Linked DNA regions of Macaca fascicularis. The protein of the gene in region 1 interacts with the protein of each later gene in a pairwise test. Links are inferred from orthologs where the notes say so. Each region holds a gene or a part of one and is shown on either strand. Other genes may lie near its edges.

Region 1 (3,751 bases):
CTGGCAAAGCTTCATACATGTTGAGTTTAGAGGCTAAAGCTTCACTTAGCTTGGGGGTCTGTGTTCAGAAATAGAGATCTGAGGCATAAGAATTGATCAGCAACACACAAATTCTAAGACCTTCAAAACTGTATGTAATCTACTTATATTTTTGTACCCACTGTAGGTAGTGCTCAAAAGCTGAGCCTGCTTCCTTCTATTTCTCAGTGAAATGAATCAGAAGTATGTTTTGAACTAGTACTAAAGGGTCTGAGTCCAGAGGTAAGGGATGTAGGATATGAGGGAAGAAGCGTTAGCAATAAGAATGCTCAAGAAGCTTGCACTTTAGCTGGGGAGAAGGGATCATTTTACCCATTGAGGAGGCAGATGGCTGCCTTCATGGGCAAATAATACAGTCTCAAAGGTCATCTATATCTGTGTAACTCTCACTGAATATTCCGCTTTAAATGTAGGTGTAATAGACTGCTTCCAAAGTCTCCCATCCTCAAATACCTTTTGTGATGAGATTTTGCCACTGTTCTCATCAAGGGGTGGAGTCTATTTTTCCTTCCCTTGAATCTGTTCTGGCCTATGACTTGCTTTGACCAATGGAATACGGCAGAAATGACATTGTAAGAGAGAGAGTGCTGCTGTAGCTCTTGGTTCACTGCCATAAGACTGCCATGCTGTGAGAGGCCCAAGCTAGCTAGACAGAGGTCATGTGGATGAGAACCAAAATGACCAAGCTAAAACCCAGCCGGGCCTAGTGCTCAAATAATTCACCAGCGGAATGCAGCTCTATTAGTAACTCCAGGTGAGACCAGTAGAACTACCCAGTCAACCTGCAGAATCCTGAGGAACAATAAGCTGAGCTTGTTTTCAGCCACTAAGTTTAGAGTTTGATTTTTGATGCAACAACACATAACTGAAACAGTAGAAATGCATCAAGTTCTTTTCTTCCCTCTCTTCATTTTTTCCTTTGTGATCTCCTTAGTCACACTTTCAATATATCTCTGTTCCCAAGAAGACTCAAATCTTTGGCTCCAGCTTGCTTTTTGCACTCCAAACCCACATCTTGAAATGCCAGCAGCTGTGGGCTTCTCCTGCACTATAATTTCAACAGATCTCAAACTAAGATCAGAGTTCCTCAAAGCTGCATTCACTCCGTATTTCTCCATTTCTACTGGCATCACCATCATCTTCCATGCATTCAGTCTTTTAAACAGCCTCTATATACAATCAGTGAATCAAGTCAATTCTTAAAAATGCCTCTTGCAGCCATTCTTTCCTTATTATTTTACTATCATTTTCATTCACTGTCACAATAATGTTATGGTATTCCTGCCCAATTCCCCGCTTCTATGGTCACTGGATTAATATTCCCTAAAGCACAATTCTGACCATATTCAACATACCTTACACACACATAAACACATACAAAGTTTTCATTAAACTCGTTGAAGTAAACTCAAACTCTCCAGGATCTAATCTTTACTGGATTTTGCTGATTTGTTTGTCACTCAATAAACATTTGTGGAGCATCTCATTGTTTTCCAGGCATAAAGCTAACTCTGGAATAAAAGACTTAGTTCCTACTTTCAAGAAAGCCATGGTCTTCCCAAATTCCTTATCTCACTGCCATGCTAAGTACTCAATTTTTTTTCCACCCACTCTATACAGTCAGGACCCCCCTTCTAAGGGTAAAATCCCAAGGGCCAGCGCAAATGTTCTATGTGAAACCTTCCCTGGCCACCCCTAACCCTAACATATAGACAGGAAAAGTAAGCCACACAGATAGAGATGGGTGTTCCCATGGAAAACTGCTCCCAACCTTCATCTCCTCCATCTCGTATTACAGATCACCCAGCCCATCCCCACCCGGGTTCTTGAGGACAGGAGTTTATCTCTGCATAGACTCTACAAGCCCGGCACGTACCTGGTATTCAACAAATACTGATGGACTTCTTCACGAATGCACGTAAAGCACCTGAGATGCCAGCAGCCAGCACCCTCAGGCGCACCCCAGAATGTATTTTTCTGAGATTACACCCAGCATCTAGCACCGCGCCAGGCACTGAATACCTGCGTGTCTAATTGTTGGTTAATGGACCAAAAGTTCAGGAACGCGCACAACAAAGACGTAGCCGACCTCGTGAAAGGCTCCCGAGGGAGCGCAGAGGCCCGGGGCTGCCCAGTCGAGAGCGCCGGTTTCCCCAGAGCCCAAGCCGTGCTACTGGCGGGCTGGCGGGGCTGATGGGTGTCGCCGGCGCCTCCGGCAGCTGGGCCAGCACAAAAGCTTCTCCACTCGCCGCGCCCGCAGCCGAGTGGCGGAGTCTGGCGGGTTCCTTGCCTCTCTAGGAGCACGGCCGCTCGTCTCTCTGGTGATCCGGGAGGACCCCCACTGCCACCTCCCGCCCCGCCCAGGTCGCTCTCCGCTGCCGGACCTCAGGCCCATCCGGACGGTGCAAGCACGCCCCACATTTATGTACATCATTTCAATAAAAAACCAACAGAGTGGTAAATGTCTGTCTTCGGGGTCATCACTGGTTAGGAGGCGAAACAGATCAATTAAAAGACCATTATAGTAAGCTGTACAAATTATTTTAAGTATACATAATATACGTACAATAAAAAAGTCAAGTTGCAGAAGGACCATAAAACGAAAAATGTCCCACTCTTTAGAGTTAACCATTGTATTTTGTGCATATTTATCTAGGACACTACCTGTCACACAGTAGCATGTAATAAACATTTTGTTTAGTGAATAAGCATTTATACATTTAAAAACACTTATGGTATCATAATGTAATTTTGCACCTTAGCTCTTTTCGGTTAAGACAGCTTGGAGATCTTCACAGATCAGCTTATTCTTTAACAGCTAAGTAATATTGTATGGGTGTTCCATAATTTACTTAACTATCCTATTGATGCATACTTAGGTTATATTTTTTCTTTAAAAGCCATGCTAGAGGGAACATCATTCAATACCTTTACATTCTTTTAAGAATGTATTTCTAGGATAAATGCCACATATTAGAACTGATCAGCCAAAGGACATATGCATTTAAAATGTTGATATGCAAGTTCCCTATTTGATTTTTAAGGGCACTTCTGTTTAAGAGTAAAAGGAGACTTTAGTAGAAAAATCAGTAAAGGATATGAATGTTACTATACACAAAACAAGGTAAGTGACAAATTAACATGTGAAAAGATGTTCAATAGTAAAAATATAAAACACTCTTTTAAAAACAGACCCATTATTTATTCATTTACCCACTGAGTTTTGGCAATTATGAATAAAGCTGCTATAAACATCTGTTTATAAGAAAACAAGAAAAAAGAAAAAGAAAACAAGAAAAAAATGAAAAAAATGAGCTATCGAGGCATGAAAAGACATGGAGAAAATTTTAGTGCATACTAGAAAGTGAAAGAATCCAATCTGAAAAGCTACATATTGTACGATTTCAACAACAAGTTGAGTATCCCTTATCTGAAATGCTTGGGGCCAGAAGTGTTTCCAATTTCAGATTTTGGAATATATACATACATTATGAAATATCTTAGGGATGAGGCCCAAGTCTAAACATGAAATTCATTTGTTTCATATATACCTTACTCACATAGAGCTAATTTTATACAGTTTAAATAATTCTGTACATGAAACAAAGTCTTTTTTTTGAGATTGAGTCTTGCTCTGTTGCCCAGACTGGAGTGCAGAGGCACAATTTTGACTCACCGCAATCTCCGCCTCCGGGGTTCAAGCAATTCTCGT
Region 2 (3,751 bases), on another chromosome or scaffold:
AAACAAAAATGACTTCAGCTAGCCTTTATGAATCAGAAAAGAGGGAAAAGTTGGGAAGAGCAGCCAAGCTGCTTGGGGGCCGTATCCAAGTAGCAGAGTGAAAAGGCTGGATTTCTGAAGCTTCCTGCAATGAAGAGAGAAGTGTTAGCACGGGTTGTGAGAAAGGCTCTGGTCGGAGTGAAAAGCAATGGTATACCATCAGCTGCTGGCTTACTTGCTGTCTTCATGCACGAACCCAGCAGAGCCTGACGGCACTTTGCAGAGGGCATTTTCCCGAATGAGGCAAAAAGTCAAAGCCTGAGGAACTTGAAATGCTTATGTTAGGTTGGATCTACACTTTTGACCAGTCCTTAAACAACAGGGCTCCTTTGTGTGGTGTCTGATGCCAATCATGTGACCTAACTAAAGGCAGCGATGTAACCATCCCACAATTCATTTATTTATTCAACAAACATTTATTGTGTTCTCTATTTACCAGGCAGTCAGCTTCCGGGGTCTAGGCTGGGATGCTGTGGTGAACAAGACAGTCAAGGTCCCTGCCCTTAAGGGACTTAAAGGCAAAACAAAACAAAAAACAAGTAAATAAATGAGATCACTTCCATTAATAATAGTGCCATGAAGGGTCATGTGTCATGAAAGGCTGGCGGTGAGGCTGAGGATCTTGGGCCACACGGAGCTGAAGAGCTGAGGTGACTGGGGGCGCCAGGGTCTGGGGGTGCGGGCAGGCAACAGACCATGGGGGACTTACAAGACATTATAAGGAGTTTTTATGTCATAAATTATTATGGCATAAATTGGAGGGCTTTAAATAGGGGAGTGAAGTGGTCTGATTTGTAATAAATGATTGCGTCAGCAGCTGTTTTATGGTATAAAATGCCCAGCTTGAAGATGACCATGCATTCTACAAATTCACCGTGACATCGTTGCCAAAACCCTTAACCTGTCTCATCTAGTTTTCCTGACAAATAGGTCAGAATAAAGCTCCGTGACATAACTAGTGGGAGCCAAAGATTTGAATCACGTCTTGGTTTCAAATCTTGCTACCCACAAATGAGTTGTGAGCTCTTGTCAAGTTACTTACTGTATTTGTGCCTCAACTATCTCAGCTGTGAAATGGGGATAATGAAAGTTCCTACATCATTTATTTGTGAAAAAATAAATGACATGTAAAGCACGACGAGAGCGCCTGGCACAATGTAGTAAGCTTTCACAAATACTCGCTTTTATTCCTTCTTGCAGGGAATTACTTAGAGGATCCACAAGATAATGCACGTGAAAGGGCTTGCGAAACTGTAAGGACTATCTTAATGGTAGAGTCCTCTACTTTTCTTTTAAACGGTCCAGAGGACGCTAGGCTGTTCGAGGCGCGAGGCCAAGCGCAGCCTCAATGCGGTCATTGTCGTGGGGCCGCCCCTCCCCCGCCCGGGGAGCTTCTCCATGGCAACGTGGGCTTTACCTCTCCCCGCCTCCTCAGGCCCGCAGACCGGAAGCAGCCCGTGCCGGGGGCTTCTGGGAAAAGGCTTGTGAACGGTGTTTCTGCGTCTGCCGTGGACAGCGAAGCTGCTGCGGTTCCTGAGCCAGAGGTTTGCGCCGGTGTGCGGGGAACGTTATGGGAGGGAGGGGGACACCGGGCTAGGGTCTGCGGACCTCTTAGCAGGAGTCGGCGGGGAAGCCTTCCCGGGACCTTCCTCAGCTTCCCGGGAGGCGCGGGGAATAGGCCGCGCTCTCCGCGCCTAGCAGTTGTGGGGCGGGGAGAGGTAGGCGGCAGGCTTGCTTGGGTCTTCGGCGTCTGCAGAGTGCTCTCTAACCCCCGGTGTCCTCCGAGACCCTCACCTTCCCCCTCCCCCACCGGCCGGTTTTGTTCTATTTCGAGGCCCTGGCGTCTCGCGGAGGGTTCTGGGAGTCGTGTTGGGAGGAGGTGGTATGGGGCGAGACTTGCGCGGGGCTGTTGGGATTTGTAGTCCCACCGGCCGCAGGCGGAAGTGCCGTGGTTCCGACGCTGTTGTCACAGGGTGGTCTTTGGTCATGTGAAATCCGCTGTCCTGAGTGCTGGGAAGAGGGGCTAGAGGACTGGCCGGGATCGGGGTACACAGCAGGTCTATGCAGCAGTAAGGTGGGCGATCACCTGGAACGAGGTGCTCTGACCAAACATTGTCGGGACCGTTGGCCTTCCCTCCATTTCCCACAAGCAGTATGCTCTACAGCATGAAAGGAAGAGAAATATATGTAGAAATAGTTGCACCGTTGATAAGCAGGGTCTTGGAATAGGCACAAATCAATGTTGGCTAGACCTTATTTATAAGGCCACCACACTCCAGGGTATTTAATTAAACCAGTATGTATTACTTGTCTGATAAGGCCTTTTCTGATTCCAGTCTTCATCTTGCTTGGGTTACGATAAGTTTTTTTAAGTTGTTGTTCATAGGCTGCATGGCTCATTGCTAGTATGTGTCGTAAACAACAGCACGGGCATGATAGTGCAAATAATAAAGGTCCAGAAACAGCATACAGTTTCCCTGAAGGTAGAACTGGGGAAACTGTGAGTCATCCAGTGTAAGGACAAGACACTGGACCACTGCAAGAAGTTAAGGTGCTAATGCGAGTGCCTTTTCTTAATAGAATTTTCTGTGATTAATGCCTATCATTATAAATATAAATGTACGTATGGTGTGGTGGAAGACTGAATATTTACGTATTATGTGCAAGATAATTTTTCAAAATATGTGATCTGTTTTTCACATATGATCTTTTCAATATTATGTGATCTGTTACTCAGCAAGTGAACATTTTTTCCACATATATTTTAAGTCCAAGGAGTTCTTAAATACCTTATTTTTTAAGTGGTAAAATTTTTTTAAGCACATAATAATAAAGCAAACCTTCGTTTTGGTTGAAACAGGGTTTCACTATGTTGGCCAGGATAGTCTCGATCTCTTGACCTCGTGATCCGTCCGCCTCAGCCTCCCAAAGTGCTGGGATTACAGGTGTGAGCCACTGCGCCAGGCCCAGCTTTTTGCTATTTTTAAATTCATTTTTTAGAGACAGGGTCTCACTCTGTTGCCCAGGCTGGAATGCAGTGGTGCGATCATAGCTCAGTGGAGCCTTGAACTCCTGGTCTTTAGTGATCCTCCTGCCTCAGCCTCCTATAGTGCTGGGATTACAGATGTGAACCACTGCACCTAGCCAGTTTTTATTTTTTTTTCCTTTTGGAACTTTTTTTGTTAAAAACTAAGACAAACACATGCATTAGCTTAGGCTTACACAGGGTCTGGATTATCAATATCATTGCCTTCTGCCTCCCTATCTTGTCCCACTGGAAGGTTTTCAGTAGCAGTAACGTGCATGGAGCTGTCATCTCTGTGATAACAGTGCCTTCTATAATAGCTCCTGAAGGACCTGCCTGAGGCCATTTTGCAGTTAACTTTTTTTTTAATAAGTAGAAGGAGCACACTCTAAAATGTATAGTATGAAAAGTATAGTAAATACATAAACAAGTAACATAGTCGTTTATTGTTGTTATCAAGTTTTATGTACCATACATAACTGTATGTGTTAAACTGGCAACACAACAGGTTTGTTTACACCACCATCACCACAAACATGTGAATAATGCATTAACCTTACAACAGCTACAGTGTCACTAGGTGAATCTTGAATTGTTCAGCTCCATTATAATCTTATGAGAGCACTGTCATCTATGTGGTCCTTCATTGACCGGTCCTTCATTGACCCAAACATCATTTTTTTGTTT
Region 3 (3,651 bases), on another chromosome or scaffold:
AGCTTTCTCTGGGATTGCAGCTCAAGCACTGTGAAGACCCTGTGGTGATTGATGATGGGGACAGCCCTCTGGACCAGGAGCAGGAGCAGCTGCCGGTAGAGCCCCACAGCGACCTTGCAAAGAGCCAGGATGCCCAGCCCATAGCCCTGGCACAGTGCCTGGGGCTCCCAAGCAGAGCACCAAGCCAGCTCAGCGGGGATCCAGGTATGCAGCCCGGGGAGTAGCAGGGGTGATCTGGGGGAGCGCACACCACACACTATACACTGGGGTGGTTTTTAAGGTGATGGCTTTTGCATCAGCAGTTTTCTCCTGTTCCCTGAGGGGCTGTGAGCTGTTATCAGGGTCTGAGTCCCTTCCTGGAGCAATTAAATGAGAATCTCATCAGGATGTTTGTTCTCTTCATGGTTCTAGATCCTCTCAGAGCTAACTCTTCTGTAAGTGGGTGTCACTGAGGTGGTACCCTCTCATCTCTTTGAGGATGCATCTTTGCAGGATTTGTCAGTTTGATGACAGCTAGGGCCTGCTGCATGAATGGAGCATGGCCATCTCTTGTCTCTTGGAACCTCTGTTTCTTTGGCTAAACAATTCCTATTTACAGGAGCATTGTGATTCTGCAAAGACATATAAAAATACTTTGGAGAACAGAGGATGGTATCTAGTGTGTGGGACCAGAACATCAGCTAGACATGGTTTGAGTATGTGTATGAAGTACATGGTTGCTACAGAAAAGTAGTTTTGTCATCAGATAAACTTAGATTTGAATCTTCTGGGTATGACATGAGGCATGCTTCTAAACTCCGAAAGCCTCAGTTTCTTCCTCTGTCCAACGGAGATAGCAATTACCTTTTTTGGGGTTTTTGGATGGTTAAATGAGATACAACCTATAAAAGGCTGAGCACAAAGCCAGAGATGCCCAAAACTTTTTTTTTTTTTTTTTTTTTTTTTTTGAGACGGAGTCTCGCTCTGTCACCCAGGCTGGAGTGCAGTGGCGCAATCTCGGCTCACTGCAACCACCACCTTCCAGGTTCAAGCAGTTCTCTCGCCTTAGCCTCCCAATTAGCTGGGTTATAGGCGCTTGCCACCACGCCTGGCTGATTTTTATATTTTTAGTAGAGACGGGGTTTCGCCATGTTGGCCAGGCTGGTCTCGAACTCCTGACCTCAGGTGATCTGCCTGCCTCGGCCTCCCAAAGTGCTGGGATTACAGGCGTGAGCCACCGCGCCTGGCCGCCCAAAACTTTTAAGTACATATCATGGGAAACCAGTACTCTTGGGTTGAAGGAAGTCTGGCACGTGGGTTCCTCTGGGTGGACTTTCCACAGTGCTCTGTAGGTACAGTGGAAAGAGAGTGTCTAGGGGGCCAGGGGGGCTTTCTTAGGACTCTGGGTGGACTTGCCACAGTGCTGTATAGGTACAATGGAAAGAAAGTGTCTGGGGGGCCAGGGGGCGTTCTTACGATTTGCAGAAGTTGTGTTGGCCTTATGATAAGCTTTTCAGTAATAAAACCAAAATGCCTATTAAATATCTCTGTGTGGAAAAACTATAGTGACTCCTGTACAAATCATACAAACTCTTCAGCCTTTTCTTGCTCGTAAGTCAAGATTGGTGTGTCGTTTGCTGCCATAACAAAGTACCAGAGTGGGTGGCTTATGTAACAGAAATGTATTCTCTCACAGTTCAGGAGGCTGGTGTGTTGTTTGCTGCCATAACAAAGTACCACAGAGTGGATGGCTTATGTAACAGAAATATATTCTCTCACAGTTTAGGAGGCTGGAAGTCTGAAGTCAAAGTATTAGCAGCCTTGGGTTCTTCTGAAGCCTCTCTCCTTGGCTCTAGACGTGCCTAATGTTAACACTAAGAGAAGTTTGCAGATAGGCATTTAGAAGGAGCTAGGGGCTGAGCGCAGTGGCTCACGCCTGTAATCCCAACACTTTGGGAGGCTGAGGCGGGCGGATCACCTGAGGTCAAGAGTTTGAGACCAGCCTGGCCAAGATGGTGAAACCCCATCTCTACTAAAAATACAAAATTAGCTGTGTGTGGTGGTGGGTGCCTGTAATTCCAGCTTTTCGGGAGACTGAGGCAGGAGAATCACTTGAACCTAGGAGGCGGAGATTGCAGTGAGCTGAGATTACGCCATTGCATTCCAGCCTGGGTAAAAACAGTGAAACTCCGTCTCAAAACAAAAAGAAAACAAAACAAAAAAAAAGGAGCTGGGAGGGGAAGTCTCTTATGCCACTGGCTCTCCTTGGGACCCGTAAAAACCTATGAATATCTGGCCCTGAAAGCTGACAACAAGCTTTGTGCCAGGACTCTTGGTGACGGGCAGTTTTCTTTCAGGGAGAGGAAGAGGAAGATGTTTACACTAAGAGAAGTTTGCAGAGCGAGTGTAACAGACACCTTCTCTCTCTGGGTCTCTTACATGGTCTTTCCTTTGTGTGTGTCTGTGCTTTATCTCCTCTTCTTGTAAGTACACCAGTCCTATTGGATTAGGGCCCACCCGTATGACCTGATTTTATCTTAATGACCTCTTTAAAGACCCTGTCTCCAAATACAGTCGCCTTCTGGGGTACCTAAGGATTAGGGCTTCAACATAGGAATTTGAGAGGAGCATAACTTAGCCCGTAACAACAGGCATAAGGGAAGCAGCCAGTCACCCACATAATGCACGTGCAAGTAGCTTGGGTTATGCAGGAAGTGGGGGGCTGTGAGAGGCCTTGTAGTGGGGTCTGGGAAGGCACGCAGGAGGAGGGGAAGAGTTTCAGGAACTACAGCAGCCTGTGCAGTTGCTTCTTGATAAAGTTCTGAGATAAGCCAGCAACCACAGATGGGGTTTAGGAAAACAGGGCCAGCTCTCCCATTTCCATGAGCAATTATCAATAGGCAAAGTAGGTGTGACAAGAGTTAGCAGTCAGGAAAACCTTAACTATTAGGACAATTTATCATTGGAATGCACTACCCGTCATAGCTGTATAGTTCCTCATCTTGAAGATCTTCCCCACAACCTAGGTTCTGTGTAGGGTCTGCAGCTCTCCAAAGTGATTCTCGAAAGGGTCCATGTATTCATTTATCGGGGCCAAAGGTAGGGTGGGGCTACATATTCATATATATATCTGGGATAGCTGCATATCCCAGAAGGTGGCAGGTGTGAGGAAGCAGAACTAAAATACCACCTGCTAGCCAGGCACAGTGGCTCACGCCTATAGTTCCAGCTACTGGGGGCTGAAGCACAAGCATCGCTTGAGGCCAGGAGTTTGAGACCAGCCTGAGCAACATAGTGAGAACCCACCTCTAAAAAATAAAACATCCCCTCTGGGAGATGTTGGTCAAAGAGTCGAAGTTTCCATTAGATAAGATGAATAAATTCTGGAGATCTATGGTACAGCATGGTGATGTTGATTAAAAATAATGCATCTTATACTTGAAAATTGCTAAGAAAGAAATGTTCTCATCACAAAAATGTATGAGGTGTAGATTTGTTAATTAGCTTAATCATTTCACAATGTATAGTTATCATATTGTACAGTTTTCATACATACAATTTTTGTCAATTATACCTTAATAAAACTGGGAGGTAAAAGTAAGTTAAATAAAGATGAAGATAGAAACTTAAAATAGAACATACACACACAAAAATACCACCTCCTCAAATCTA

What was found.
Region 2: the proteins of PGBD1 (region 1) and ZNF24 interact in binary tests that used the Homo sapiens proteins (3 or more experiments, as listed by UniProt). The two-hybrid records come from large-scale screens. The link is inferred for Macaca fascicularis from reciprocal best matches to the Homo sapiens genes PGBD1 and ZNF24.
Region 3: the proteins of PGBD1 (region 1) and ZNF496 interact in binary tests that used the Homo sapiens proteins (3 or more experiments, as listed by UniProt). The two-hybrid records come from large-scale screens. The link is inferred for Macaca fascicularis from reciprocal best matches to the Homo sapiens genes PGBD1 and ZNF496.

Annotation. Positions count from the first base shown.
Region 1 is NC_088378.1:144,899,859-144,903,609, forward strand, and holds the start of PGBD1 (piggyBac transposable element-derived protein 1), read right to left. Parts: upstream 2,336-3,751; 5' UTR 1,916-2,335; intron 79-1,915; exon of another isoform or gene 59-78; 5' UTR 20-58; coding exon 1-19.
Region 2 is NC_088392.1:54,500,749-54,504,499, forward strand, and holds the start of ZNF24 (zinc finger protein 24), read left to right. Parts: upstream 1-1,496; 5' UTR 1,497-1,593; exon of another isoform or gene 1,594-2,198; intron 2,199-3,485; exon of another isoform or gene 3,486-3,751. UniProt on the Homo sapiens protein: Transcription factor required for myelination of differentiated oligodendrocytes. Required for the conversion of oligodendrocytes from the premyelinating to the myelinating state.
Region 3 is NC_088375.1:1,757,331-1,760,981, forward strand, and holds part of ZNF496 (zinc finger protein 496), read left to right. Parts: intron 1-20; coding exon 21-204; intron 205-3,651. UniProt on the Homo sapiens protein: DNA-binding transcription factor that can both act as an activator and a repressor.